4 linked regions of the Pelodiscus sinensis genome follow. The protein of the gene in region 2 purifies or fractionates together with the protein of the main gene of each other region. This does not show direct contact. Links are inferred from orthologs where the notes say so. Each region holds a gene or a part of one and is shown on either strand. Other genes may lie near its edges. The genes, in order: AMPD2, CTBP1, TRPS1 and FOXP1.

Region 1 (7,572 bases), on a different chromosome or scaffold from region 2:
ACATGCATAGTGTGGCAGAGACCCGGACAGGTGCTACGCTTTCCCAAGGCCCAGGCACCCCAGGCCTCCTGCGTGTGGGGGCTTCCCGTGGGCCCCTTGAAGCTGCGACATTAACGTGCGCGTGGGAGCCCGTGCTTTGTAGAGCGCTGGCAGCAGCTGATTAACGGTTCCTGGAATAGTCACCATCCAGCGGGGTTCGTGTGCGGGAATGCGGCAACGAATTCCATCCTAATCCGGGCCGTGTCAGTAACCAGCGGCGTTAACCCTCGGTAAAAGGCGTTTGCTAAGGCACCGTTCACCTTCAAGGGCAGCCAGAGCCCTAGGGCGAGGCGTAGGCAACAGAGCAGCTCCCATCCACCACCACCACCCCGCCCTTCCTGCTGCTGCTCCCCCCTCCCCAGATCTCATGCCGGGAGCAGTGAAGGGAGGGGAGCTGGAGGGAATCTGGCAGGGAGCCATGCTTGCCAGCCTCTGCAGTGTGGCAGGGGAGGGATCTGGGGGGCGCAGCCAGGCTGGAATCCCCTCTGACGATGCACCCCCTCCCGGCCAGTGCCAGCTGACTCGGGCTCTGGCGAGAGGGCTGTTTAACTCTGGTGCAGACCTGGTCCTGGAGGCCGTCTCCAGCCCCACGCGCCTGAGCCAGCGGGCACGGGCCAGGTGTCTCAGTGCAATGTAGACACCCTCCGCTGCCCATCCCCCGCTGTCTGTCTGGAGGATGCCTCCTGCAGCCCAGGGGCCTGGGAGCGCCCACAGGACCTCACCCCTCAGCTGTCTGCCCTGGGGCGCCCTCACAGCAGCGCCCTGTCGATACCAGCGCTGAGGCCCGGAACCAGCTGCATCACAGAGATGCTGATTTCACCCCCTTCCTCACCTCACGCCCTCGAGGGATGGTGCAACCCCGTGACTTCCTCTGCTGGAATCCTGCACCCCCGCCTAGCAGCCGCTCCACCTCCTGCTACCCATTTCAGGAATTATAATTGCAGCAGGAAAAACAAGGTATTGATCCACATGCAGAATTACACACACCCCTATGCCCAGGTGTCCAGACCACACAACGGCCTCCCGCCCCCTGGGAACTCAGCACACACGAGGTGAGCGTCCCACACCACCGCACACTCCACAAGCACACAGCACGCTGATCAGCATCAGCCAGGCTTCTAGGCTCTATGGCAACAGATGATAAATAAAGGAGTAAGAATAATGTGTCCCTGCAACACAGCCCCATGAGCGCACCACACAACACCCACACGCAGATTAGCTAGGTGCATTATGAGCTTTTCCCTCCCCACTTGCCTCTGACACCCCACAGTGCCCGAGACTGATGCAGGAAAGTGAACTATGGCCTGGGCCAGTATTAAGGGAGATTCCATCTGCCCTAGCACGACATTCACTGTGGGGCACATGCAGGTGAGCCCAGCTCATCAGGTGTGGGTGCATCATGCACAGCACCCCCCTGCCTCCAACATTCACAGCCCCCAGGGCCTGTGCTTAGGGGCATGATTCTCACACCACAAAACACAGTCCCACTGACTTGAACACGGGATCCTGTAGCCAGAGAACATGCCCTGGGACCGCCTGGCCTGCAGAGCTGACACCCAACTAGTGCCCCAGCTGCCCCACATTAAAGGCTGCTGCCTAGGTCCCCACAAGCAGGACTCTGGTGCGCCCACAGCTGCAGCAGGCTGTCTCTGCAGGCTGGGGGCTCTAGAACACGTGGTGGGAGAAAGCTGGATGCCCCCCAAGGTGGTGGGTGCTATGTTCCAGCCCTAGGAGAGGGCCCCAAAACATGGTTTGATCCATGTCTCCCATGCCCACAGATCCACGCCACAGTCGCGCACCTGCACCCACACCCGACCCACTAGGGCTCACAGGGGCAGGAGGCAGCAGCTTCCACCCAGGACCTCAAAGCATTTCCCAAAGGCAGGTGAGGAGCATCACTCCCAACTCACAAATGGGGAAGTGGCCACTCGCTCGGCGGGGGCAGCTCAAAGCCAGATACACACAGAACCCAGCCCCCCCCCCGCTCTAACCCGACACCCTGTGCGGGAACCCGCCCCCCCCCCGGCCCCCCGCTCTAACCCGACACCCTGTGCGGGAACCCGGCCCCCCCTGACCCCCTGCTCTAACCCGACACCCTGTGCGGGAACCCGGCCCCCCCTGACCCCCCGCTCTAACCCGACACCCTGCGTGGGAACCCGGCCCCCCCGACCCCCTGCTCTAACCCGACACCCTGTGTGGGAACCCGGCCCCCCCCGCTCTAACCCGACACCCTGTGTGGGAACCCGGCCCCCCCCGCTCTAACCCGACACCCTGCACTGCACCTAGACATGCAGGGGACCCAGCCCCCCATTCCGCAGCTCTAACCCGACCCCCAGCATTTGCCCCCAGCCACGCAGGGACCCAGGCCCGGCCCCCAGTTCTAACCATGACACCCGGGCAGCCCCTGCTCTAACCACTAAGGTCACTGCCCCCCCCCCCCACATCCGCAGCACACACGCGCCTGCAGAGTTCACGCCCCCACACTCACGCGCAAAGGAAGCACGGGGGGGGCTTTCCTTTCCCTCCCCCCAGCCCTATCCATCCCTTGCCTTTACTAGCGCTACACGCACCCCGTCCCCGCAACGCGGCGCCCACGCCAGATGCCCCGGATCCCCCGCAGCTGCGCCGCCCCGGGGGCCAGGAGGGGAGCCGGTGACCCCCCCGGTCCGCGGGCGAGCGGAGAGCCCCGGCCCCGCGCGGAACAAAGGCAGCCCACGCACGGGCGCGGGGGCCCGGCCGGCGCTCACCTGCGGCGGCGGCGGGGGCCTGCAGGCTGCCCCGCTTCTGGAAGGGGTGCTTGCCCCGGGGGGGCGCGGCGCCCGCCGACATTGCGCCCGCCGGGGAGTCGCAGCTGCGGAGCCGGGAGCTCTTCCTGCAGCAGCGGCCCAGAGCTTGCTCGGCCCCTCCCCCGGCCGCTGATTGATGCAGCGAGCGCGGCGCCGGATCGAAGTCCCCGGCTCCGCCTGGCGCGGCGCCAGGCCCGGGGCCCGAGCTCGGGCGAGCCCAGCCGAGGGGCAGGGCAGGGGCCCAGGGCGCCGGCTGGAACAGACCCCAGGGGCGTGGTTTGCGGGTTCCAGCAGCAGCACCCCCTGCGCAAAACTTGGTCCGTCCTCCCCCCTCCCCCCAGCCGGGCCTGGTCCCAGCTGTTCCCAGAGCAGCGAGCCCAGCGGGCCATGGAGCCAGTCTGGGGGCTCTGCTAGGGGCCAGAGAAAGAACTCCCCTCCCTGGAGAGCTGTGGCAGATGAGGGCGCCTGGCCAGATGTGGCAGGCAGATCCCCCCCCCCATGCCTCAGGGATGGATCCGTGCCAGGCCACAGGCAGACCCACCTGCTCACCTCTGCAGAGGAGCAATCCAGGCCCCCCTCCCGGGGCTCTGCCCACAAGACCCAGCACCACCCTGCACAGCATCTTTCCTGGGCGGCCATGGTGCTTTCCAACCCGCCCCATAGGCCCCTATCACTGGGGCACACAGAGATGTCACACCAAGCAGTACATCAGCATCACAGCCGGAATTGCACCTCCTGCCTGCACTAACCACTGAGCCACACTCCCATCCTGATCGGCAGGACAGGCAAAGATGTACAGTACAGGCTTTTCAGCCTCCTTTCCCTCCACTGCTATTTTCAGAGGCTGCCAGCCCCATCCCAGGCTTCTGCTAGCACAAGAGCCAGAAAAGGGGCTCCCTGGTGGAACAGGAACAGGCAGCAGGGACAGGCCCTCCCCGCTAGTAAGACACTAGAATAAGCAACACTGGCTGGTGGAGAGCACATGGGGCTAGGACTCAGGAGAGGTGGGTTCTATTGCTGACTTCACCAGTCTGTGCCTCGGTTTCCCCTCCCCCTTTGCTTGTCATATTTACTTAAATTGTTGGCTCTTTGGGGCAAAGACTGTCTGTGGGTGTGTGCGGCACGCAGCCGGGCAGGGCGTATCATCTCCGGGGCTGACCGTCCTCTAGCTATTTCACCCCATGGTCTCAGCAGTAGCTGGTTTCTGGACTACTGTGGGGTGGATGTGTGTAGGGGAGAACTTTAGGAGCCATGGCACCTGCCAGGCCTGGGTCTCAGGCCTGGTGAAATGGACTTAGTCAAGAGGGAGAACAAAGGGCATCGGGAGCCAGCCTGTGTTTACTGTCTGGATGTGGCGGAGCCTGACACTTTACAGAGACGAACAGTCCCCTAGAAATGTCCCTGGGCGGGGGGTAACTGTGCTGCAGAGAAGAGCCCCAGAGGGTCTCAGGAAAGGCAGGCCTCGGGTTCAGAGCTGAACAAGCGCTGCCCAGGCGGGTGAGAAAGGGCCTGTTCCTGGGGGCCAGGGGGCTCTAGGCTGCACCTCCCTTTGCCTCCTGTGTCCCAGTCCTTGTGTTTGAATCGTTAGCTCCAGCTCTGGCGAGCAGCCCTCCCTGGGGGTAAGCGCAGACACAGGGGAGTGCCTGCCCCGAGCACTGGGGGCAGTGGCCAGTGGGGCCAGCAGACACAGGGGAGTGCCTTCCCCGGAGCACTGGGGGCAGTGGCCAGTGGGGCCAGCAGACACAGGGGAGTGCCTTCCCCGGAGCACTGGGGGCAGTGGCCAGTGGGGCCAGCAGACACAGGGGAGTGCCTGCCCCGGAGCACTGGGGGCAGTGGCCAGTGGGGCCAGCAGACCCGAGCACTGGGGGCAGTGGCCAGTGAGGCCAGCAGACACAGGGGAGTGCCTGCCCCGAGCACTGGGGGCAGTGGCCAGTGGGGCCAGCAGACACAGGGGAGTGCCTGCCCCGGAGCACTGGGGGCAGTGGCCAGTGGGGCCAGCAGACACAGGGGAGTGCCTGCCCCGGAGCACTGGGGGCAGTGGCCAGTGGGGCCAGCAGACACAGGGGAGTGCCTGCCCCGAGCACTGGGGGCAGTGGCCAGTGGGGCCAGCAGACACAGGGGAGTGCCTGCCCCGGAGCACTGGGGGCAGTGGCCAGTGGGGCCAGCAGACACAGGGGAGTGCCTTCCCCGGAGCACTGGGGGCAGTGGCCAGTGGGGCCAGCAGACACAGGGGAGTGCCTTCCCCGGAGCACTGGGGGCAGTGGCCAGTGGGGCCAGCAGACACAGGGGAGTGCCTGCCCCGGAGCACTGGGGGCAGTGGCCAGTGGGGCCAGCAGACCCGAGCACTGGGGGCAGTGGCCAGTGAGGCCAGCAGACACAGGGGAGTGCCTGCCCCGAGCACTGGGGGCAGTGGCCAGTGGGGCCAGCAGACACAGGGGAGTGCCTGCCCCGGAGCACTGGGGGCAGTGGCCAGTGGGGCCAGCAGACACAGGGGAGTGCCTTCCCCGGAGCACTGGGGGCAGTGGCCAGTGGGGCCAGCAGACACAGGGGAGTGCCTGCCCCGAGCACTGGGGGCAGTGGCCAGTGGGGCCAGCAGACACAGGGGAGTGCCTGCCCCGGAGCACTGGGGGCAGTGGCCAGTGGGGCCAGCAGACCCGAGCACTGGGGGCAGTGGCCAGTGAGGCCAGCAGACACAGGGGAGTGCCTGCCCCGAGCACTGGGGGCAGTGGCCAGTGGGGCCAGCAGACACAGGGGAGTGCCTGCCCCGGAGCACTGGGGGCAGTGGCCAGTGGGGCCAGCAGACACAGGGGAGTGCCTGCCCCGGAGCACTGGGGGCAGTGGCCAGTGGGGCCAGCAGACACAGGGGAGTGCCTGCCCCGGAGCACTGGGGGCAGTGGCCAGTGGGGCCAGCAGACACAGGGGAGTGCCTGCCCCGAGCACTGGGGGCAGTGGCCAGTGGGGCCAGCAGACACAGGGGAGTGCCTGCCCCGAGCACTGGGGGCAGTGGCCAGTGGGGCCAGCAGACACAGGGGAGTGCCTGCCCCGGAGCACTGGGGGCAGTGGCCAGTGGGGCCAGCAGACACAGGGGAGTGCCTGCCCCGGAGCACTGGGGGCAGTGGCCAGTGGGGCCAGCAGACACAGGGGAGTGCCTTCCCCGAGCACTGGGGGCAGTGGCCAGTGGGGCCAGCAAACACAGGGGAGTGCCTGCCCCGGAGCACTGGGGGCAGTGGCCAGTGGGGCCAGCAGACACAGGGGAGTGCCTGCCCCGAGCACTGGGGGCAGTGGCCAGTGGGGCCAGCAGACACAGGGGAGTGCCTGCCCCGGAGCACTGGGGGCAGTGGCCAGTGGGGCCAGCAGACACAGGGGAGTGCCTGCCCCGAGCACTGGGGGCAGTGGCCAGTGGGGCCAGCAGACACAGGGGAGTGCCTGCCCCGGAGCACTGGGGGCAGTGGCCAGTGGGGCCAGCAGACACAGGGGAGTGCCTGCCCCGGAGCACTGGGGGCAGTGGCCAGTGGGGCCAGCAGACACAGGGGAGTGCCTGCCCCGAGCACTGGGGGCAGTGGCCAGTGGGGCCAGCAGACACAGGGGAGTGCCTTCCCCGGAGCACTGGGGGCAGTGGCCAGTGGGGCCAGCAGACACAGGGGAGTGCCTGCCCCGAGCACTGGGGGCAGTGGCCAGTGGGGCCAGCAGACACAGGGGAGTGCCTGCCCCGAGCACTGGGGGCAGTGGCCAGTGGGGCCAGCAGACACAGGGGAGTGCCTGCCCCGAGCACTGGGGGCAGTGGCCAGTGGGGCCAGCAGACACAGGGGAGTGCCTTCCCCGGAGCACTGGGGGCAGTGGCCAGTGGGGCCAGCAGACACAGGGGAGTGCCTGCCCCGAGCACTGGGGGCAGTGGCCAGTGGGGCCAGCAGACACAGGGGAGTGCCTGCCCCGGAGCACTGGGGGCAGTGGCCAGTGGGGCCAGCAGACACAGGGGAGTGCCTTCCCCGGAGCACTGGGGGCAGTGGCCAGTGGGGCCAGCAGACACAGGGGAGTGCCTGCCCCGAGCACTGGGGGCAGTGGCCAGTGGGGCCAGCAGACACAGGGGAGTGCCTGCCCCGAGCACTGGGGGCAGTGGCCAGTGGGGCCAGCAGACACAGGGGAGTGCCTGCCCCGAGCACTGGGGGCAGTGGCGTTGGGACCTTTCCCCGGGGGCACAGACAGGAGGACCCCGTCAGCAGAGGCAGCCATTGACCCCAGACACTGCAGGGTCCCCCAGAGCGCCCGGCTGCCTCTCCCAGGCGGAGCGCGGGGCCCGGCTAGATGCTGGTCTGGCTGGAGGTTGCACAACAGCCAGTTGCGTCACCCCGGGCCGGGGGAAGCGCCCGCAGCTCCGCGGCACCAGGGCCTGGCTGCGCCGGGGAACGCCCGTTCCGGGGCCCCGCGCCCCCGAGCGACCCGCCTGTCCAGCCAGCTGCAGCAGCGCGGGGAGCGCCCTGCCCGCGGGGAGACCCCGCCCCCCCCCCGGCATGTCCCGCCAGCCGCGCGGGCAGCAAACCCCCCCCCCCCCCCCCCCCGGGCCCGGGCCGGCTCCCAGTCAGGCCCCGGCGGAGTCAGGGGGACGAGACTGCCCCTCCCCCTCCCGGGCCAGGGTGTTAGCCCCCCCCCCCCGCGAAGCGGAAAGACAAAGAGGAACCGAACAATCCGCCTTTGTGCTGCAGGAGCCGCGTGTCGGCTCCGGCCCCAGGGAGCCCGCAGAGCCCCCCCC
Region 2 (7,158 bases):
AAAATCATATACACACCTACACCTTATAAGCTGAAAAGAACTGGTCGCTAAAAATAAAAAACACACAGAGTACAACACAACAAATGGTATTTCTTAAATGGTTTTGTGGAATGGCAATTACGGTGTTAAATTTTAATTTTGTATTGGAATACACAGGTTCAGCAAAGTAACTCTGAGCATTGATCTAAACAACCTTCCAATCTAAGGAGTTCAGTTTCATGAGTCTTCACTGAAGTCTCTTTCATTGAGATAATGCAAAGTTTCTAATCAAAGGTTTCATAACAGATACCAGGAGCTGGGAAGGGAAAGAGCAAGAAGATGTCTTGACATAGAAGAGGAAGAAAAAGCCACAATAAAACATTTAAGATGCTTATAAGGTTTGTTATTGACAAAATCCAGGATGGACTATGATGAACTACAGTTCTACTGTGTACTTTAACAAGTCTTATCTTCCACCAGTACATTAAAATGTACATATATTTTTTAAAAAGTATTATTTGTAATAGTAGTAGTGTTTTCTCCAAACTTTATCACAATAGATTAACAATTAAAAGAAATGTGTAATGTAATTCATAAGGTCTTTCCCTTAAACATCTCCTTACTGTGACTTTTACAGTAACACCATTTATCCATAATGGAAATTAAGTGTGGCCTATTCCTTTCTTTTCTCTCTCTACATATTCCACACAGCTAATCAGTAGCCTCTCTCTGACCCATTCCTTCAAGAGTCTAAATGATCATCAACTTTTCTCCAAACAATTATGCATTAATTCTTGTCCATATCACCCTATGAAATGATCTGCCTCATCCACTGAATCACTTTTGTAAAAAATGTAAGATAGCATCTTAACTTCTCAGCTGAAGCAGGAGTAGAAACATGGTCAGTCTATTAGGCTACAGTTTTCCCACAACAAAGATTGGTCAGAATATTACATTTCTGGTTTTATTTAAATGTTCTCTACATAGGCCATTTTCCATTTGATATGGTCAAATATTAGAAAACAATAAAAAAATATTTATACAAACATCATATTCATGTTTAAATATGGGAAAACCGCGTAAAGCTTTTTTCATACTATGAAGAAAAATGATTTATTAGAGAATAACTAAAAAAAATGAATAGAATGCATAGAATGGCAGGCTTTCCCATGTTGTTATTTGGTGAAGAAAAAAAAAATCTATGCAAAGTTTTTTGCTTTGATTTTGTTGGAGCAGGAAAATTCTTTATTATTATAATAAACATATACAAGATTGTTCTCAGAAGTGAATGAAATCACTTACAAAAATTGGCTGGGGATCATTCAGAACCAACAAGAAAGATCCATTTCTAAAATTATTATGACAATATACTACAACAGAATGTTTACCTCAATCCTGCCCCTCCTTAAAAGCCTCTTCAATGTTAATTCCCACTCTAGGGCTACAGGTCTTCTGCTAAAATTTTTTCTAGATTCTGTAATCCTTTTCTCTTTAATCTCCAGTCTATGAAGAGAGATGATGAGATCCACATATGCATAGCAAGTGAGGATTTAAGTAACTTTACATCTCACCATAGTTACCACATTTGATTTAAACAGGACATTGAATCATTTTGTCATTTAAGATTTTATGTGTGTATGTCTTGATATGTTCAACGAGCATGCAATTTTACAAGCAAATTGTTTTATGTGGTTAATGGGCAAACTACATTTCAATACATCAGTAGATGTGACATTAAGATTCATCATTCATCTCTGCAGGTTATTTCTGGAGGGGAATAGAGCATTTGCCAGGTTCATTGGTGGCTAAAGGTTTAAATGTGTTACTATTAATTTTGTTTAAAAGATTTTTCCCACTACTACCATTTCATGAATATTTCTAAAACAATTCCTTGACGTTTTCATTAGTCTGTCAAAACTGTTCTATTGGACTTTTTTGTTTCTCATGGTAACCAATTTTATTTGACTTAACAGAAGCTGTTCAAATATTTAAAGGCACTCCGAGATGGCAGGAGTTTATCTAGGAGCATACATGTTGTGTCACATATATTCCTTTCCTCGCTCTTATTTTTATTTTTTTCTCCAGAAATAGTAACAACCAAACAGGACACTAACTGGACATATTGTACCAGGAACCTGTTCACTTAATCTGTTTATGGTAAAATTCAAGTTATAATAGGCACGTTTAGAAATTACAAGCTCGGTCGTTAAAACAGATGCCTGTGACGTTCCTTCATATGTACTGTATCCCTCTGCCAATACTACCATCAAGCGCAAGGCAAGAACTAAAGTATAAACATCTGCAACACCTCTCTGTTTTGTTAACATTCTTTCACACATTTTACTGCTAACTCCGAAAAAGGAGGATCGACGGTATAAAAAAAACTGAAATTGGAAACATCTGTGAGATAGCTACGGAAAACGGAATGAAACATGAATAAACAAAAACATGGCGAAAGTGGCCTGGGGTTGTTACACTGTCAGATCATTTTTCCAAGCCCAACATCAAGGCTTTTGTTACAACCAAAGCGGTCATTTGCATGGAGAACCAACAGGGTTTCTTCTTCTTCAGCGTTTCCTAGATCGTAACACACACTCGCTCTCTTCCATACACACACAGGCAAATCTTCCCCGTTGCAAACAAACAATACAGCTAACCACACACATTTTCGCAACTGCGGAATCTACAGATTACAAACGACACTCCGCATACTTCATAGTTTGGTGCTGAGATGTAATTTAGCAATAAAATAACAGACAAACCTTTGGAGCGCTGCCCCAGCCGGAGTTCCTCTCTCCCTCTGCTCTGCTGTTACTGACAAGATCAGGCTGAGATTAACAAGTCCATACTACTGAACACTCTTACTCCTCAGGTTATTCCATGCACTTCGTGTGCTTTAAATAATATCAAACTTCTCAGAAAGTTTAAAAAATAGTGAATTAGAAACAGAGCACAGAAATAAGAAAGCAGAAAACACTGTACGGGCAATTATTACAGCAGCACGGAGGGCACTGCTTTATAGTTTAGGTTGTGTCAGCACTTCCATTCTAAACCCCCATTTTCGGGGGGAGGGGAGAGGAGGCTGTTATAATTCAAGCCAACAAAAATTGCTCCTAGCTAAATCAGGTGATATTATTTCTTTTTAATATTTAAAAAAATCCATTTAGTGACTATTCAAAAGTTTTAGGGGCACAAAAGTACACCCATTTTAGCAGCTTTGGAAGCTTTATTTTCACTTTTCCAATATAAATAAAACATTAAACATTCCTTTTTAAAAATAAAATTTCACAGACCTTTGCTCTACAATGAGAGTCTGGTCCTTCACTTTTTATAAAAACACATTAATAAATATTAATATCTGAAAACTGTCTGAATACACAGTAACTTTTAAATAACTGTTAAGTGAATTTATTGGCTAGTTCCAGAGATATTAAGTTGTCTATTTAAAGAATTGGGCAGCACAGACAGTGGTCCTTGCCAGTATGTGTCCAATCTAATCTGAGGCAGCTTTGTAAAATTCTCCTCCCACCACTTGTTGGAAGCAAACCATTTTTCTGACCGGTGAATGTCCTCAACATCTTGGTAAGGTGCTTGTTCTGCAATGGCTACTTTACAATGCTGCTCTAACCGGTGATAAGGCAAGCCAGTCTGTACTCTTACTCAGTCTTTGACCAGTCAACTATTGCACTGGTGATGATTCCATGGCCTGGATAACTGACCCATGGAAACTGGACCATGATAGACAACTTATTTCATATAGATGACTACATAGCCAGGACAATTTCAACTTTATACCTTTTGCTTTTAATAAACATCTTTATTAGGGCTGTTCATCATATATATGCATGACCAAAGAATAACTGTCAAGCGGTGAATTCTATTCAAATACTAGTACATTCTTTGTAAAGTGTAAACACATGGATTGACAGGTAAAAGTAAAAAACCAGGTCAGACAAAAATCAAAGTGCACATTCAGTTATCCCTCAGTTCGATGGAATGCATATAAGCTAATGCACCCCTCACCTCACTAATGCAGAAACTCAGAATATCACCATGTTATATGTCATTTTGCTATCAGTCCCTTATTTTGAAGCATTACTTTTCATTTTAAAACCCTCTTCTCATCAAAAGATGAATTACAGAAATGTATATGTAGCCAAAGCCTACCACAGTCCATTCCTTGGGGCTGTATTCTCCTATCAACATGCAGTTAGTGAATTCAAATCTATTCAAACGCGCCCTGTTAACAGTCCAAGAGGGAGTGCAGGTCGTTGTTTCTCTAAAATATTATTCCTCCCAACTTCCCAAAACCACGATTGTTTGAAATACACCAAGAAGTATTTGAGATCCAAGTAGTCTACCCTGCCTCTTCTCTGTCCCATATAAACACCCTCTCACTATCAAATGATTGTACGCAACAAGTCACTCTAGTATGGTCCATGTCAACATTATGATTTATTAACAATTCCCGCCCTAGAAGAAATTAGATCTCCCATCCTCCTATATAGATGAGATAAAGCCAAATGGATGCCCATATGAAATATAATAAAGTATATAATTACTTGTCAACAGAGTAAAAGTAAGGCTTGTTTTAGTCTAAGAAATATATAGAGTATTTAACATTTAAAATGTATACTTTCCAAAGTGATTAAATAGTTGGATGGCAGTCATTAATTTCAACAAACTGTTCATTCCCATTAATAAACGCTTTGAAAAGGATGATCAACAACATCTGGAAATACAAATTCAAAATAAAAAAAAAGTCTATGGCATCCAGCTGGAGAACAGGGAGAAAGAAAAAAGTTATGGCCATACATACTCATCTTAATGTACCCCAAATGTATACTTCCTAGCTTTTGTAAGAATTACACAATGATACTTAAGAGCTAACCATTGTACAGATTTGTTTTGCACTAATCACAACTCCCTTCAAATTAAATGAGGGACCCAAAATTTTGGAAGGGGAGTTCATCCAAAGAAAAATAATCTTTATTTTCAAGTTGTCATTAAACCAAAGACCCATTTACATATATGGATGTTTATAATCACTTTATAATAGTGATAAATCACTTTATAATCACTTTTTAAATTTCAGCATGTTACTGACCACTCTATTTTTTAACATAAGTCTAAATATTTGAGTGATTAGTTTAGTTTAAGTCCACACAGGATGAATGCCATTATTTGCATGAATTATTAGTTGCGACAATCTTAATTTGAAAATATACTAACAATGCACATATAGGCTGTATAAATATTTAACCATGCCACCTAGAAAGTAAATTAGTTGACATTCAACAATTAAAGCTGTCTTTCTGAAGTTGCAATATTTAAAGGTTAAAGATTAGACATGCTCCCTCTTGTGTTAAACTAAGAATGCATGCTGTTTTCTGTGACATGATGGTAGCTCAGCCATCTGTTTCCACTGAGCAAACCTCAAACTTTGATTGCTAATTTCTGACAAACATCCACCAATAGTTCTACAGTACAAAGGTTGGCTCACTTTGCACACATTCATAGGATTACTTTATGTTTGAGAAGTACTGTCATTTTGCATACTGTAGAAGATCACCATTAAGCATAAAATAACATACCAAAAGTATGGTGCAATAAAGATTAGTGGACATAATTAAATATATACACATGAAAATAAACTACATACAAAATATATATCAAATATTAAATAACTTTATTTCATACATGGCCTAATAATTTACAACAAAATATCCACCCTTTGCTAATTTTTCCTTTCCATTAGTGTTAGTTAGTTAGTTACAGGATTCACGTAGTCTAGCATAAAAGTTTGCTTAAAGAATCTTTACAAAATGTGTATTCATTTCATAGCTATGTGAAGATAGGAACACAACAGTGCTACGTAAATGTGCATGTGTGCACAAATTATCTACCTGAGGCTCCGATCTTTCAGCTTGACCCACTGAAAGCCTTATACCCGCCTGGAGCCTCAATAAAGTCAATCAATGTCCATTCATGCAGACTCAGTTGCCCTTAGGGCAGCGATTCTCAAATGTGGTGGCCACTAAATCCCCTATCTCTGTCCAGGAGACTAAGGCAAAGAAGCAGCCTCTCTTAGCAGTGCCCACTGGCTCCACAGGTAGTCTTCCACTTCCCCAACCCCTTTGTCCTTCCACTGATTCAGTTGCGGAGCTCTAGGGGCAGGCTCCAAACCAGGGTAGCTGTTTTCAGTAGGGTCAGAATACCAGGTCAAGGCAAAAAGTCGGGTGAGAGTCTGTGGAAAGAATCTCAGGGTAGCAGGGGTAGGATAAGTGGAACCTCAAAAACAGGGGGCTGGGGGAAGAAGCAGGGTGAGAGGTGATGGGAGGTAGCATGGACTAGAGGCACCAAAGTGCAACTATACATTATTTTCAATATTGAATATAAAAATAAACCCTACATAAATAAATCACAATGATTTGGGCTTGTGTGTGTACACATTTGGTTTTCCTAATATTAATTATGTATTTTAGGAATATTTGTCAGACAGTTGTTGTTAGAACTTATGATGCCTTATGACATCTCAATGAGAGCACAGACAAGCACTGTAAATTAGAAGTTTAACTAGCTAACACATTTTAACTAATGTGATTTTCAACAGGACTTTGCACTTAGTGGAGAGAGAATAAATAACTTAAAATCCTGTTGATTGGTTGTGGCCAATCCTAGACTCTATGGTAAATTTAATTACAACCTGTAATGGATGTTTCATCATCAGCTGCGGTGTCTAAAAGAGGTACAAAGTCCTGTTTAAAACATTTGTTATTTATTAGGTAACATTTTAAAATGTAATGTATTTTATAGTCTTTACTGAAGAATATTTGGAAAGTTTTAAAATTATGCAAACTACCCTCTTTTTCTTGTAAAATGTGTTTTTCATTAAATCCAATTCTCTAAAGGTTAACAGAAATAATGCAGCCAAACCTTAACCAGGAAGGGCAGCAAAGTCATGGATGCTTCATATACATGCACTATTAAATCTTGGACCAATATTTAAAAAGGGCTCTAGAGGCGATCCTGGCAATTACAGACCGGTAAGTCTAACTTCAGTACCGGGCAAATTAGTCGAAACAATAGTAAAGAATAAAATTGTGAAGCATATAGAAGAACATAATTTGTTGGACAAAAGTCAGCATGGTTTCTGTAAAGGGAAATCCTGTCTTACTA
Region 3 (7,849 bases), on a different chromosome or scaffold from region 2:
AAGAAAGAAGTGTTCTCTTATTTGGATTAATTATATTATTAACAACCTTTCACTCAGTAGTTAAAAAAAATCTTTCAAAGTGTTGATATCATTTCCAGACTGTCTTGTCAGCATCACAATTTACAGGAAATAGTTGATGTTCTCAAACAAGCTCTGTATTTACTCATAGAGCTACAGTACGTTATAAAAATCCTCACTCTTTTGGAGTTTGTTTGTTGTTTTGTTTTTTTAAATGTCACTTTGGTGGAATATCTGAGAAAGCTCTCTAACCCAATGTACATACTTATGAACATGACGAAAACACTGACTACAACTCAGAAAGATTACTGTAACTTTTATTCACATTTTGTCCACGTCAGGAACTGGCTCTTACCACTAACTTTCCTTCACTGCCCCTTGTATTTTTAACTCTGGCAGTCTCTTCTAAATGATCAACTTTTCCTAAAATCAACAGCAAAGTAACATGATGCCACCAAGACTCATAGGTTTTAGCGCAGCTGAAGAAGACAGCTAAAATGGCAAAGGACTTCATACTTTTACTAAACCCGATGAAATAACAACCAGGTTGTTACTAACAAGTAGTATCTACAATGTGTGTGGGGTACAAACTACAAAAATTGCTTACAGTCCATGCCCCAAAGAGCTTACAGTCTTTATATTTAAAAAGTATTTTCCTCCCACACTTGCTCTGCTTTTTCCTCCCTTGCATTTATTATTTAATTCTTCTACCAGATAGTAAATTTGCACTTGTGAAGGGAGAAGAGGATGGAATTAAGAGATGACTTCACTTTCATAATTCATTCCCACTTTTTGCACTGCACCATGCCTTCCATACACTTCAGAGATTTGACATTTATGGATGGAGAATGTCTAATTCCTTTTAAGTTAATGGGCCACTCTATTCCTTCAAAAATAGCTTACGAGAGTCCTGGAACATTAAAATTCATTTTTTCATTTGTAATAAAGACAAATAGCTAAAACATATCAAAATGTCAAATCAAGGAGCTACTTAATGAGCGGCTCAAGTCCCAAAACAAATCTACTCTGAAAAATAGCTCGCAGTGCTGCTGGAGTCCCACAAGTTTGTGGGTCTTTCTGGAGAGTCAGTTTTGATTGCCAGACCTTTCCCTGGATCCACTTCCCATACCCAGTGATCACAGTCAGGAATCAGGCAAAGAATTGCACAGAGAGACAGAAAGAGAGAGAGAGAGAGAAAGGTTGTTTGCACAGCCCACCAAACGCTATTAGGCCACCTTTCCTCACCCTGGAGCTTTTAACGAAGCCACAAATTCCACACACACACACACACACACACAAACACTCATCAATACCACCATCACCACTACCACCACACATTCCGCCCCAGAACTATCAGGAAGTCTCCCTATATCCCCAGAACTTTCAACAACAACAAAATGTCACACAGATCCCAAATGGAGAAAGCAGGGTTTTAAAAAAAGTGAGACACTAGACAAAGTTCTAGCAACCCTGGCAGTGCAGAGCGTGGGGACTCAACTCTGAAAGTACAACTTTGCCTTTAAGAGGAAAAAGTTTTACGTCTCTCTCTGTACTCTCTGATTTCCTTTAAAATGCACACACACACACACAGACACACACACACACACACAAACACACACACACCAGCATGTCGCCTATTCCCCTGGTGTGACCGGGTGCGCAGCCCCCTCGACACATGCACACCCGTAACCTCCCCTGGTGGATCCCCAAGACAAATACAAAAAGTTTGCCCCAAACTTACTACTCTTCATGATGGTCTCTCTGTGCCCCGCTTGTCATGATTCCCATTAAAACTTCCAGCAGCAGCAAGCAGCAGCAGCAGCCAGCACAGTGCGACTGCGGCGCATCGGATGCAAAATCTCTTTGCTCTTCTTCTACTTCCAGCCCCCCTCCCCCCCCGATGGTGGGGAATGAACAATCAGAGCGATAAGAAGTAGCTAGACAGAGGGGAGGTGGCGAAGGGAGATACCAGCCCGGGAACTGCTCCCCACCCCTTCTATGGGTAAATAGAAGGCGAGAGTCTTAAACCAGAGATGGGGGTTGTTTGCCCTGCTCGCTTCGCTGGCTGAACTTGACCCTCCTCCTAAGTCCAGAGGGGCTACTGCAGTTTTGAAGTCGCCAGTTTCCAGCGATCACACATGGCTTTGACCCACCAAAAGAGGGAGGAAAAAAAATGCACCCAAACCCCCCACCAGCAGCAGCCTGTGAAATCCGAGAAGCCCTCGTTTCCCTCTGATTTTTACCCCCCCCCCCTGGATGTGTGTGTGCGCGCAAAGAAACTCACTTTTAAATCCCCCCGCCCCCCCCCGCCTTCCCATTTCACACACACAAGCACTTAGCATACAGAACAACACACTTACTACATACGCAATATCAACAGACGGAGCAGGAAGGAGCCCCCCCCCCCCAACGCCATACACTTTTTTGGCTGATCCCCCCCCCCCCATTCCCCGATCTCTTCTTCCCACCCACCCTCCGAGCCCTCCCTCCCCCCTTACCTGTTGATTAATCGACAATAATAATCTCAGCAGCCTGAAAGATGGTGGAGCTGTGGTTTGAGCCATGAACCGTCTTCTGTTGTTTGCAGAGTTGATCTTGGATTATTTGGGGGGAGAATGGGGGGGGAAAGAAAGAGAGAGGGGGGGGAAGGTTCTCCTGCCTTTCCCCCTCTCCCCCTTACCTCCCCCCCCTTTATAGGGAGAGAGAGAGAGAGAGAGAAAGGGAAAGAGAGCAGGGACCTGGATGTGCCTGGTGTGTTTATAAAAAAGGAGAGAGAGAGAGAGAGAAGAGGAGGAGAGCCTGGATCTAGTGAAACAACAAGCCCCCAAAGGAGGCGGCTTTAGATTGCAGAGAGATCAGCTCTTTATCAGAAATGTTATCGCTTGTCAGGACCTCAGTCTCCGAGCATTACGTCAGTTTCAAGACACCAACACTATTAATATCAAAGGAGCCTTAGCAGAGAAAAGCGCCACCCCAGACTGAGAGCCCTTAAAGAGACAGTACAGGAGTCCCCACAGAGCTGCTGTGTTCAGCCTCCTCCTCCTCCGGCCAGGCAGCAGCAACCACTGGGGAATAGGCTGCTTTGGAATAGACCAAGTCATTCACAACTTTTTTTTTTAAGTAAATGACATTAACGTTTATGCAGGATGCTCTGGCGTAGGGGAGCATCCCTGAGGAATGGACCTTGCCGGACTGATCATTACATCCTTGGGAAAGTGTGAGAGGGGAAGAGACTCTGATTGTGCTGATTTTCAATAGCTATTATTGATTAATAATTGTTTGTTAAATGCTGCTGGTCTTTGCTCAGCTTTTCTAAAATTGCACACGATTTTTGCCTGGATGTGCTATTGGAAAGGCGACTGCAGCTACCTTTTCCTTGTATTTTGATCCAGGACAAAAGGGACAGAAAAACAACTGGAACTTTTTCCAAGTTCGGGAATGGGGGGCAATAGTAGGAAGCAGGATAGTGCAATGCCCTGGTCTGCTCATTTAGTGGGTTCAGTTTCCAACAACAGCCTTAATTAATATTATTATTTTCTTTGTGAAGAACTGACAATACCACCCTGTCCAAGGCACAAAATACATAGTCAATGCCCCCCCCCCCCAGGATCTTACAATCTAAATAACACAAACACAAAGTAGACAGGATTTGCGAGAAGTCTAGACTCATTTATTATTGTTACAGTATCATTATTTCTCAGTTTTCAAATTAATACAATTTATTGTTAGTTCTCTGTTCTACCACAGGATAATCCCAATCCTCTTTTCAGAAATTTCTTTATACTTTTCTGTGTCTATACAGAATCTTTTTTAAAGATCAGATTTTTCCTCTACCATGAATTGCCAGAACTCTACATATAAATGTTTAAAAAAAAAGTTTAAGGAAAAGCAATGTATATAGCTCCTGGGAAAGGATTTTAATCCCCAAGTAGAGTAAGTGTTAAAAACTATATAAATATTTCTTGGGCATTTGGACACAATTTTCTGAGCTAGGTGACTTTATATGGCATTTTTTCCTTCTATGTCAGTCATCTTGAAATTTCATATTGAAATAGACATATTCTGGACTTTTGCATTGAACAGTAAATATAATCCAAGTGAGAAGCTGAAAAAGAGAGTTATATCATTAAAATATTAGTTATGGATTAAATTATTTCCTACCAAATGTGTTTCACATGGCATAATGTTTGCCTTACAATTTTATTTTCAGGAAAAACTTAAATATGAAACAAAAAGAATTTCAAAGACATGAACCGAGTTAAAGTAAAGGTCCTACTGCAAAATATATGGCATTTTCATCCACTTTTTAAACTTATACATTCATTTATGTTTATTATAATATTCTGGCAGATTTGTAAAGTAATTGCTCATGTAAATCACAAAGTAACACATTTCTCACTTTAGTTCTTTTCTAGGAATCTCTGATAAAGCACTTTATGAATAGAAAAATAATCATTCATGCACAAGAGGTGAGTTGACAGGCAGAAAAGGGTAAGTAAAATATAGTTCCACAAAAAAGCACCCTATGTCTCACAGGAAATAGGAGAAGGGAACTAACATATTATATGTGGGACTTACCATATCCCCATCAGCAGAAATTAATTTTGAACAGTTATGATATTTTATATGAAATGCAAAGAACAGTAATTCCAAAATCTTCAGTAAAATTTAAAGTCTGTTCCTAATGACTCCCTATATAATTTAATGCCAGAGCAATTTACTGTAGAGCATCACTAATGCATACACAGTAAAAGTGCTTTCTGAGATGGCAGATTTTCACCTTTTTTTCTAAGCTGCAAATGTAATAACTGAACTTTAATCAAATAGGCAAGATATAGAATCATTTTCACAAACTTTTACTTATTATGAGCTACACTGAGAAATAATCCATTCAGTCAAATCCAGATTTGTTCCCAGGTCTAAATAATTTAGATTTTTAACTACATTGATTAGTCTTTCTGACCTGGCCTATTAGTCCAGTATATAAAAGGTTAAAACAAGCCAGTACTTGGCTGATAATTTGGCTAAACATCCTATAAGCTAGGTTTGAATGGAAAATATTTAAACAGGGGTTATTTCCCTTTTGCTTTTCTGTTATATTGAAATTTATTTAATTAATATCTTCTATTTTTGAAAGAGAAATAATAAGACACGCACATCTTTAATTCTATCCCTTCTCAGACGATATGTGAATGCAACTTTCTCTGACCTTAAACTACAAGATATAAAACATTAAAAAGTTTGTTAAGAATGAAAGAATGAAAGCTCCAACCAATGCAAACTTTTAAGATTATATACACAGCTTTTTCACCTTAAGAAAATGTGACTAGAAGAATAAGGATGTTTATTTTTAAATCACATGAAAAGTTACAGAATGGCATTTAAGGATGTGCTGATTTTTAGAACGAAATAGTAAAAGCATAGGTCATAAACTGCTAGAATAACAAAATATTTTTTCATTAATTAAAATGGGAAGTGTTAGTGAAACACTGTATTGCAGAGAAAAGTGCTACAGTACCTTGTATAATAATGCTTGCTTGATACGTTCTGCATTTCAAATTAAAATAAAGCAGATCGAGAAGATGTCAATATCAATCTGTTTATATTAACCAAGATCTATGGAGAACTTAATAAAAGCAAAAATATTTTCATAAACTTTTGGAGGCAAATTATTCATTTATGAAATAATTTACAAAGAAAAATTTTACCTCATGCTTTAGATACGTCGCATATGCTCATGATTGACACAATATGTTTGGGCTCAAAGGCCTGTATACCATTTTTTTTATCCTAGGAGGAATATTTCAAAACAACAAACTAATTCATGAGGTCATACAGTAATTGCTTAACAGTTGTTTTCAATATAGAAAATAAGTTATGTATATTGTTTTCCTTTAAATATTTGTTGATTTGTTGTTATAATCCTTCGACATTGACATTGCACAAATTCCATTCAAAGAAATATTGACGATGTATTTTCATGTATCATCTTCTAATGTCAAGCATATGCAAAACCACTTCAAGCAACTTTTATTTCGTGTTACTTGAAATCTACATTCTATGTGACAGCAGGTAGTTGTTTAAATAAGAAGTCTAGCTTTCTGTGACATACAAGAAAAGAAGCAGAAATGAAGGAATAACAGCTACGCAAGAAAATTTAGAGAACACGCTGTTATCACATAAGAGGCATGAACAAAGTAATTTCCAAATAATCCTCCATTTTTTACACTCAAGCACATTCTCCACTGAGAGAGAATAGAAAGGCCAGCCACAGTAGCTTCTTGAAGGAAAATGGTATAAAAGTCATTATTTATGAAGAAGACATAACATGCCATTTTTTTCCTTTAATAAATTCAATGTGGTTTTTCTTTGCTTGTAGTTTGTGTAGCTGCAAAGAGAGATTTCCAGTTAAGCACAAGGCATACTGGTTTTACAATTTCAGCCTTTTAGTGCATAACTTACTTGCTTAAAATACTAGAGCCTATAATCACAATGATTCTACCTGATGGAACATGCAATTTAGAAATATAATCCAACTGTTTACCCTAACACGTCATAAATTGCAATTCTTTACAAAAACCTCAGAGATTGACTTTGCTCTTAAATGCCTGCTGCTTTAGCACACATCATCAAGAAGGTATTTCTGTATTATTCTCCCACCAGTTAGTAGTATATCACATGAATTCTAAAGACCATTCACTTTTACTGTCTTCAATAATGAACATTTTGAGAAGCATTAACTTAGGAGTCTGGGCAATTTCAGTGAGAGTTTCTTGGGAATATAAACACCGGGACCTACAGAATTTCTGCAGACCTACTTCATTTCTTTGCAAAACTTTTGTCACATGGAATCCTATCATCTTAACAGGGAAGTTTTTTATTTTTTGTATTTTTTTTATGTAGGTAAAGAGTCAACTTTCTAAATTTCCAATGGTACACTAACACAAAGACAAAATTACCACTGATTTCAAAAGGAACAGGCTTGAGGACCACAAATTATATGGTAAATGCTTCTGAAAAGAGTTTTTGCACAATGATAGATGAGATAACACCATGGACAGCCAATGAAATATCCTGCAACAGAAGGGTGAGAATAAAATGGCATGATCCCAGTTTTAACAAATGTTTTCTAAAGGGACTGGATATCTGGAAATGGAGACTTTCATTTGTATGTCACTATTTTAATACAGGCCAACTCAGTACTGATGAAATATTAACATCTGGTGGATGTTTGGTAGCCTAATCCATTATGTAGTATAAAAATGTCCATGTTGGTACACCACCACCACAACTGGCAAGTCAGAACCTGAATGCTTCCCTTTTGTCAGGAGACACAATGGAGATACTGTGGAGTATAAGGCAGGTGGTTCCTCCAAATTCAAGATGAGGGACAATATGGAATACTGCTGCTATATAGGAAGAGAGAGAAAGAGAGATAACTTTAGGACTATCTATCTGTCTACCTATCACTATTGTGAAATGTACTGGAAATTAAAAACAAGAAACCCCAAACTGCTCAAAATCACTTACATACAATAATACTCACTATTATATAGATTTTGATTTTAAAAACTCCACAGCAAAAGGGTGCTCATCTGAAGCTCCATGAGCCCTTTGACCCATATATAATAATAGACAAGCAAATGTCAGTTAAAAAGAGCAGCAGCATGTTTCCCTCCCATAACTCAGCCATACACTCAACTTTGGTTAGAAGCCCAAAACAAGTGAAGCCCCTTTTCTGCAATCATTTCTCACCAGACAGAAACCCTACCCACAAATGCCTAAATCCCTACTCCTAGTACCTATTGCTGCACAGCCAAATGATTAAAAT
Region 4 (7,045 bases), on a different chromosome or scaffold from region 2:
GAAACCAAAAGTCCAAGTTTCCCCTCCTTCCCTTGATCTCAATATGGTTTCAAAGATGCATAGTACACTCCCTTCTGAGATCTACTTTGTTCTTGTAGAACTCAAAATATTTGAAAATCTCTCAGGCTTAACATTGCAGAAAAAAACCAACAACAGAATTTCACTTCTCAATCATATAAATTGCAAAATACCATTAAGTATTTCAAACATCTATTTCTGCCTCCAACAAAATTAACCCAAAGATAACTACTACCTTAAGGAGCCTGAGTAGGACTTGTCTTTAAAAGTCATACTTAAAGTCACTATCTGCCTAGTTAAGAGAATTAAATTAATTATACTGACATTCTGAAAGTTAGATAACCAAAACAAATGTATAAAAACAGAAAAAAATTAATTTAAAGCAAAATTTTTTTAAAAAAAATATGTATAATTATTCAGTACCACAGGATTCAGAATTGTATCCTATACAGACACACGCTGTGCAAATATTGTACACATTACTCATTCACACAACAGTTACTAAAAGTGAAACCCTAAACTTTTGAGAGGCTAGGAGATTAAGCCAGAACTCTTTAAAGTGGAATTCAGAAGCATGTGTAGCTCTTAAATGAAATGCTTGGTAGGAGCATTATGTCTGAAGAGTTGACACTGACAGCCGCCGTTTTTTTTGTTTTTTTTTAAAAGGGCCATTTTAGGAGTTTTTTGGTTCACTACAAGCAAAATTTTAAGACCAATGGGTAGAATGAAGGCAGGCTAAAACCAACACACTTTGCAATCGGCAAAGCAATGGCATTTAAACACAATGAGTTGGAAATAATTAACAGTTGTAAAGTGGAGTGGGGGAGGGAAAGGACTCATTGTCACTATATTTTATAGCAGCACTTACACTGTTAGCCAAACTCTGATCCGAGGTTTCCTTATTTAAAAAAAAAAAAAAAAGATAACTCCGTGTTAATACATCTCGCCGCCTGTACTCCCCACCCCTTCTGTTTCACTGACCTGAAATAAACGCTTCAGCTTCTAGCTTCTCTAAGCTGGTCTGTGCCCTTTACGATAGATGTTCACCTGGTTTCTCTTTATTTGGGAGTTTACTGTTGGAGCGGGGAAGTTGTGTACACGTGTGTGTGTGTGGGGGGGGGGGGATCCTTTATACCCTTATATGTAAAAAGCCTCCGCTGATTTTCCTATACTTACCGGGAGACAGCAGGGAGAAAGGCTCTGAGAGTGAACGAACGCCAGTACACAGCTTCTCAGTAAAGTCTGCTGCTGCTCCGGCAGGCAAAACTTTGGGCTCTACGGTCGAGAAGAAACCAGGGGTTCTTTCAACAAGTCTCCGGAAGGCAGGTTTGGTAAAGGGGTCGGAGGGGGAAGGGGGAGAGTGTGCTGTGTTTAAGGGGAGGGAGAGGAAGAAGAGGAGCCCTGAAACACTTGCAAGCACCGGGATCAGGAAACAGATCTAAGGACTTGAGTAAGTAACAGGATCTAAAAATCTCCCCTCATCCCCAGGCATCTGAGATGCGCGCTTGCAGAGGGGCAGCAGGGGCGAGTGGCAAGGGTCGGGTTTGGAGTTGTAAATGTTTATTCAAACACTTCGTCCAAGGCGAGCGAGGCAGAGGCTAGCCAAGCAGCCGGCACCGAAGGCTGGGCACGATGCACCGGGCTGGGCGTGCGCGCATGTGACACGGGCGACTCCGGCGCAGACATCTGGGCTGACTGATCTAGAAGCGACAACAGGTGGTATGCGGGGGGGGGGGGGGCAGGACTTGCTCAATGACGTGTGGGGGAATCAAGGTCGTCCCCCCCCCCGCACTGGGGGGGAGGAGGGCGACAGGGAGAGGTGACAACCCGTGGCCGCAACTTCGCCGCGGGCTCTCCGCGCATTGCCTGCAACCGCACCGCGGGGGCGCCCCTGCAGCCAGAGCCCCCAGCCAGGAGGGCAACTCCCTGCAGCCGTCCCGGCTCCGGGGAAACAAGCCCAGCCGAGTCCCGGGGAAACTCAGCGTGGGCAGCGCCTCTCGGTGCGCGTGTGGCTGGAACTGAACGGAGCCTCCCCCGCGTCTGGCGGGCTCCCCCGGGGAGAGGGGGGGGGGGGGCGGCGCGCTCCTCCCCAGCCAGGGCGCAACTCCACGGGAGCGCACCACGGCGGGACAGCGGAGCGAGCGGGAGGCGAGCCCAGCCCCTGCCTGTGCGCAGGGGGGTGTGCGCCCGGGGCCTGTGCGTGAAGTTCACAGGAGGAAGGGACGCAGGGGGCAGAGATGGATAAAAAGTTTCCAAAGTGAGAACTGAAGGGGAGAGAGGCGGTTCCCCCCCCCCTCTCCGAGCGCCTGGGGAGCGGCACTTGCCCCGCCACCCGCGTCTCTGCCCGGCGAGGGCGCCCGCCAGACGAGCCCTCTCCAAGTCGCCGCGGCGCGGGGCTGCTCCGGCGGCAGTGGCCAGCCGCCAGCTGCAGGGACCAAGCCCAGAGGTGAAGGAGCCGCCGCCTCTCCCAGGGCATTCGCTCTGATTTATGCAAACAGCGTGGCGGCCAGCTCGCATCCCCCCGCCAGGCGGCAGGCAGAGGGGGGCACGTGGAGCTGGGAAGGGGGGGGGCAGAGAAGGAGTTGGAGGGGGGGGGAGGAAGAGAGGGAAAAGTGAAACAAACAAGAAGGAGCCTGGAAAGTGGAGGAGAAAAGCCAAAAAGCCAAACTCACCCGCTGGAGACGGCCGGTCGGTGCCTCCCCCCAGCGCGGGTGAGTCTGCCTGCCCGTCCCCTCCCTTCCCTCTAGCCGGGCAGCCCCATGCGCCGAGCCCGGGCAGTAGGCACAGCGTGCAACAGCCGCACAATCAATAACAATAGAGCCCTCCGCTCGGGACTAGCTTCCAGGGGAGCCTGCACGCAGCCCAGCAGGGCCGGCGGGTTCCCCCCCTTGCTCCCAGCCCCCGCCGCTCCCGGCTCGGCTCCAGGCGCCTTTGCGCGGCCGCTCCGGAGTTTGGCGAGCGGGAGGAAGGAGGAGAGGCAAAGCTGGAGGGGAACGGCGGGAGGGGGGGGGGGGAGAGAAAAATAACACCCCCGCGGAGGGAGATGTTGTTATTTTTTGCTGTTGTGAGTCTCTGACGTCACATCCACCTGCTGGGTAAACAACAAGGCTCGGTGCAAAGCGCACACACACAAAAAGCAACACACGCGCGCGCGGAGCTCGCAGTTGCAAGAGAGGGAGAGGAGCCGGGGGCAGCGCAGCCGCGGGGGAGAGGATGGGGTGGGCTGCAGGGCTCGGCGAAGGGGGGGAGCCGGGGAAACACCCCCCCCCCCCGCGGGAAGGGGGGGTTGGGAGCGGGGTGCGAAAGCTGCGCGGTGGGGCAGGGGCTGGGTGGGGAGCTCGGCGAGCAGCAGCCCGCACGGGCGAGCGTTCGGCCGCGCCGTAGCCATCGGCTCTGGCCTCCCCTCGCGGCTCCTCGGCACTTGCAACCATGAAAGGCGGCGAGTTCGGGAGGTGAAAGTTCAGCCGAAGGACAAACCCCCGTGTGCGAGGAGCCGGGCTCGGCTTACAAAGGGCACGGAGCGGGGTTAGAACACGCGCGCCGGCGGCACCAGGGAGGTTCCTGCCAGCGAGGAGAAAGTGCCTTAAAAATCGCGAGTCGCTTGTTGCCCCCCTCCCCCTCCCTTTCTAGGAACAGGCTCAGCGCCTAGGACGGCGAGTTGTTCCACACAAGTTACCTGCGAGTACTGCAGAGATTCCGGCCAGGAGGAAAGGGTTGGGGGGAGTTTTACATCCAGGGTTCAGAAACAGGGATGAGATTTGTTAGCGGGTTGCAACCAGGCTTGAAGTTAAATCGCCTGAAAGAAATCCAATAAAGGAGGCCGGGGATGCTTAATAAATGCCGCATTATTTCTAAACTCTTAGCACTAAATTAACTCCCCTCCTTAAAAAAGAAAGATACAAAAGGGGGGGGGGAATAGGAGGGGAACCACTGAAGATTCATATTGCTACAGCCATAGCAGTAGTGGCTAGTTACTAGCATGTGGGCATTTCTTTCATTCATGCAGTTTGGAACAGTCTTGCTGCTCACAAACCTTTTTGCCTTTTAAAAACACTCTTGTTTAATATTCACCCATAACATGGTCCAGGCCTTTCTTTAAATGAATCAAATTTATAGTAACTGAAAAATGATTTTTGCACAACCAATTTATAATTCAGGACCTTTTAGGAGGCTCCCAGCACTTTGCAAAAAAAATGCTTCCCCAAATCCCTGTAAAGTAGGGAACAATTGTTTTATAGATCCATGTATATATGAGGCACTGAGAGGTTACATTAGCAGCCTAAAATCATGCAATGAGTCGGTAATAAAGCTGGAAATAGAATCCAGAATTCCTTGCCACCCAGTCCTGTGGTCTAAGCCCTCTCTTGCTATTGTGCTTCATATAAAGAATTACTTGCACTTGTCTATTAATAAATAATACATCTAAAATAACCAATGAATATTTTGTCCTGTTTGTACCAGTGCCAGGCAGAGGAAAAGACCAAATGCTAACTCAGAGTGTTGCATGAGATGCCCATACTTGCATGACTTGAGAGCTTACAGGATCTTGTCTCAGGAGCAAGAGTCAACGCCTGCAATCCACATTTAGAACAAAATTCCAATTGATCTTGATAGGAGTTTTGACTGAGGAAGGACTGAAAAATTGGATCCTCTGTCTCTATCTAACAGATAATAACTCATCGCTGCAACAGCTTCCTGGTAAAAATTTACTGCGTTTAAAAAAAAAAAAAAGAGCTGAAATATTGTCTTATTGTTCCAAGCATTAGATAAAGCACTACTAATATCTAATAGTGTTATGCCCAAGGACCATTGCACTTACGTGGTATGTTAGATCATCCACTGCTTCATGAACCACACTGGCATAAATGATGAGAGTTAAAACATAGATATAGCTGTAATTTAGAGAGAATAAACATGGCAAAGTGGCATTTCCTTGGTGGAGATTAGTTGGACTTTTAGAACCACTGACTGTTGTCCAGTTCAGTGACAGTTACTCCTATACAACTGTTATTCTGGGTCAGACACATATAATACTGCAAAGAGCACAAAAAACATCAACAAACTCCACGCATGAAATGCTGGTCCCATTGAAATCAATTGCACTTCTTCCAGTGATTTCAACAGGGCCAGAATTTCGCCCCTGGTCACAGAGGGAGGAAGTGACAGGCCCACGCGTTGGCTGGTGTTAGCCATCCCACTAGTTAAAATTATAAATATAAAATGTTTCCTGCTAACCTATACACACACAACCTCCTTTATACTCATTCTGTGTGAACAATGCCTACTGGTTTCTGATGTTCAAGAGGGCTGCATATAGAATGTCCGGCAGAGATCGACTGTGTAGATTGAAGATGAATATTTTACCTTTCCATTCTAAAACAATCAACTTGGTCCATGAGCATATCTACAGTAAGTGATGTGTTGAAGTATCACCTCCCCCCCCCCCCCCACCCCTTGAGAAATAAAGATAATGGCCAGATTTATAAAAGAAGGTGCTTAAAATTAGGCTCCTAAACTTACATTTAGGTATCTAAAACAGTGGCCTGATTTTCAGAGATGCCAAGGACCCGGAAACATCCTGTGTGATAGTGTGACAGCATTTCTGCAGCATTCTGTGAAGAACAATTTAGATGGCAATTTGATTATAGGATTATTGAGCAACCTACTTGGTTAGCAGAAACTATTTTCTTTCAACTAAGTGGGAATTGTTAATAATCTCATTTTTACCATTCCTTTGCTTTTTAGTAATTGCATTCACCTCATTTTGGGCTTTCAGCAGGTTCGAAATAAGAGATTCAAGAGGGGGAGCTTATTTTAAATGTTCTTCTATATGATTTTGTATATTTCAGTGTCTAGTCAGCTGAAGTGGTGAAGAACTGCATGTCCATTTACTATATGTTAGTGGGGAACTTAACTGCTTCTTAACATATTGTTCATTTTCAACACTGTCACGTTGCATTCATATAGAGCACATTTTAATTTCTTGATCAGTAATCAAGTGGAAGTTTCTTCTTGGCAAATTAAAGCAGGAAGATTTTCACACAAAAGAAAGGGTATGGTAGTAGGACGCCACCTTTTGGTAGAAAAAGTAAATAGAAGCATATTTCGAAAATGCTACTGATGTGCAATTACACTTTAAATTACACTAATGGCAAAGTACTTATGCCTAATTCATTATATTTTAAATAATTAAGAGGAAAATCATTGCAAATAAATATTTGCAGAGACAAAGATGGTTTAGCTGTACTTTAAGAGGAATCTTCAAAGACAGTAAGTACATAATTTCATTATGTCATTGTATTACTGAATAAACTCAATTATCAAAAAGCAACAACAAAATGCTAGGCTTCAGTCTACCCCACTCACCTGATGTACAGTAGAATATCTTAAAGATGTGTGCAATTGGAAAAAGGCCAGTTACATTTTTGTAATATCATTAAGGTATTTTTCATCTATTTTCTATTTTACTTCATTGTTTTGTGATAGGAAACTACAACAGGAGAAAATATATAGTGCAAATTTTGAGACCATAGCTTGCACATAAATAGCAGTTGTTTCCTCCCTTACTGAAATGCTTTAGACGTATTTATGTTTATACATTTAAACCCAGAATAAACTTTTGTTTATTGCAAACTTCTTGGCTCTTGTTTTTAACTATGCAAATGTAAATCAGTATATTAACGCTATAAAACATGATTAATTCCATAGACAATAAGAGCAGAGGGATTTCTCCCTCCCCCTCCACCAAGGCAAGCTGCTAATTGCACTTGAATTGTTTACTGCTGTATTGTTTTACAAGTGCCTAGAGAAAGAGACGCTTGATATCCCCACCACCATCGTCACAGTCCCAGGAGCAAATGCTTGGCGGATTTGGGTAAGGGTGTACACATGCTATGACTGCAGCTTGTTAGTAAAAAATAAAAAAAAATTATGGAGGTGATGACGCCTCTGTAATTATAGGTGTTACTGTTTTAAAGTCAGAATGTTTTCTAAGCTGCTATAGCGCCACGCCTCCAGCATCCCATGA

What was found.
Region 1: the proteins of CTBP1 (region 2) and AMPD2 purify together in Homo sapiens (affinity purification with mass spectrometry; 3 studies listed by BioGRID and IntAct, with this or other methods). This does not show direct contact. The link is inferred for Pelodiscus sinensis from reciprocal best matches to the Homo sapiens genes CTBP1 and AMPD2.
Region 3: the proteins of CTBP1 (region 2) and TRPS1 purify together in Homo sapiens (affinity purification with mass spectrometry; 3 studies listed by BioGRID and IntAct, counting the BioPlex papers as one, with this or other methods). This does not show direct contact. The link is inferred for Pelodiscus sinensis from reciprocal best matches to the Homo sapiens genes CTBP1 and TRPS1.
Region 4: the proteins of CTBP1 (region 2) and FOXP1 purify together in Homo sapiens (affinity purification with western blotting; 3 studies listed by BioGRID and IntAct, with this or other methods). This does not show direct contact. The link is inferred for Pelodiscus sinensis from reciprocal best matches to the Homo sapiens genes CTBP1 and FOXP1.

Annotation. Positions count from the first base shown.
Region 1 is NC_134737.1:15,280,215-15,287,786, forward strand, and holds the start of AMPD2 (AMP deaminase 2), read right to left. Parts: upstream 3,003-7,572; 5' UTR 2,869-3,002; coding exon 2,787-2,868; intron 1-2,786. UniProt on the Homo sapiens protein: AMP deaminase plays a critical role in energy metabolism. Catalyzes the deamination of AMP to IMP and plays an important role in the purine nucleotide cycle.
Region 2 is NC_134715.1:120,934,023-120,941,180, reverse strand, and holds the start of CTBP1 (C-terminal-binding protein 1), read right to left. Parts: upstream 3,018-7,158; 5' UTR 2,742-3,017; intron 1-2,741. UniProt on the Homo sapiens protein: Corepressor targeting diverse transcription regulators such as GLIS2 or BCL6. Has dehydrogenase activity. Involved in controlling the equilibrium between tubular and stacked structures in the Golgi complex.
Region 3 is NC_134712.1:24,634,278-24,642,126, reverse strand, and holds the start of TRPS1 (zinc finger transcription factor Trps1), read right to left. Parts: upstream 3,021-7,849; 5' UTR 2,517-3,020; intron 2,243-2,516; exon of another isoform or gene 1,770-2,242; coding exon of another isoform or gene 1,760-1,769; intron 1-1,759. UniProt on the Homo sapiens protein: Transcriptional repressor. Binds specifically to GATA sequences and represses expression of GATA-regulated genes at selected sites and stages in vertebrate development. Regulates chondrocyte proliferation and differentiation.
Region 4 is NC_134721.1:10,182,309-10,189,353, forward strand, and holds the start of FOXP1 (forkhead box protein P1), read right to left. Parts: upstream 3,013-7,045; 5' UTR 2,691-3,012; intron 1,294-2,690; exon of another isoform or gene 1,195-1,293; intron 1,016-1,194; exon of another isoform or gene 1,000-1,015; intron 1-999. UniProt on the Homo sapiens protein: Transcriptional repressor. Can act with CTBP1 to synergistically repress transcription but CTPBP1 is not essential. Plays an important role in the specification and differentiation of lung epithelium.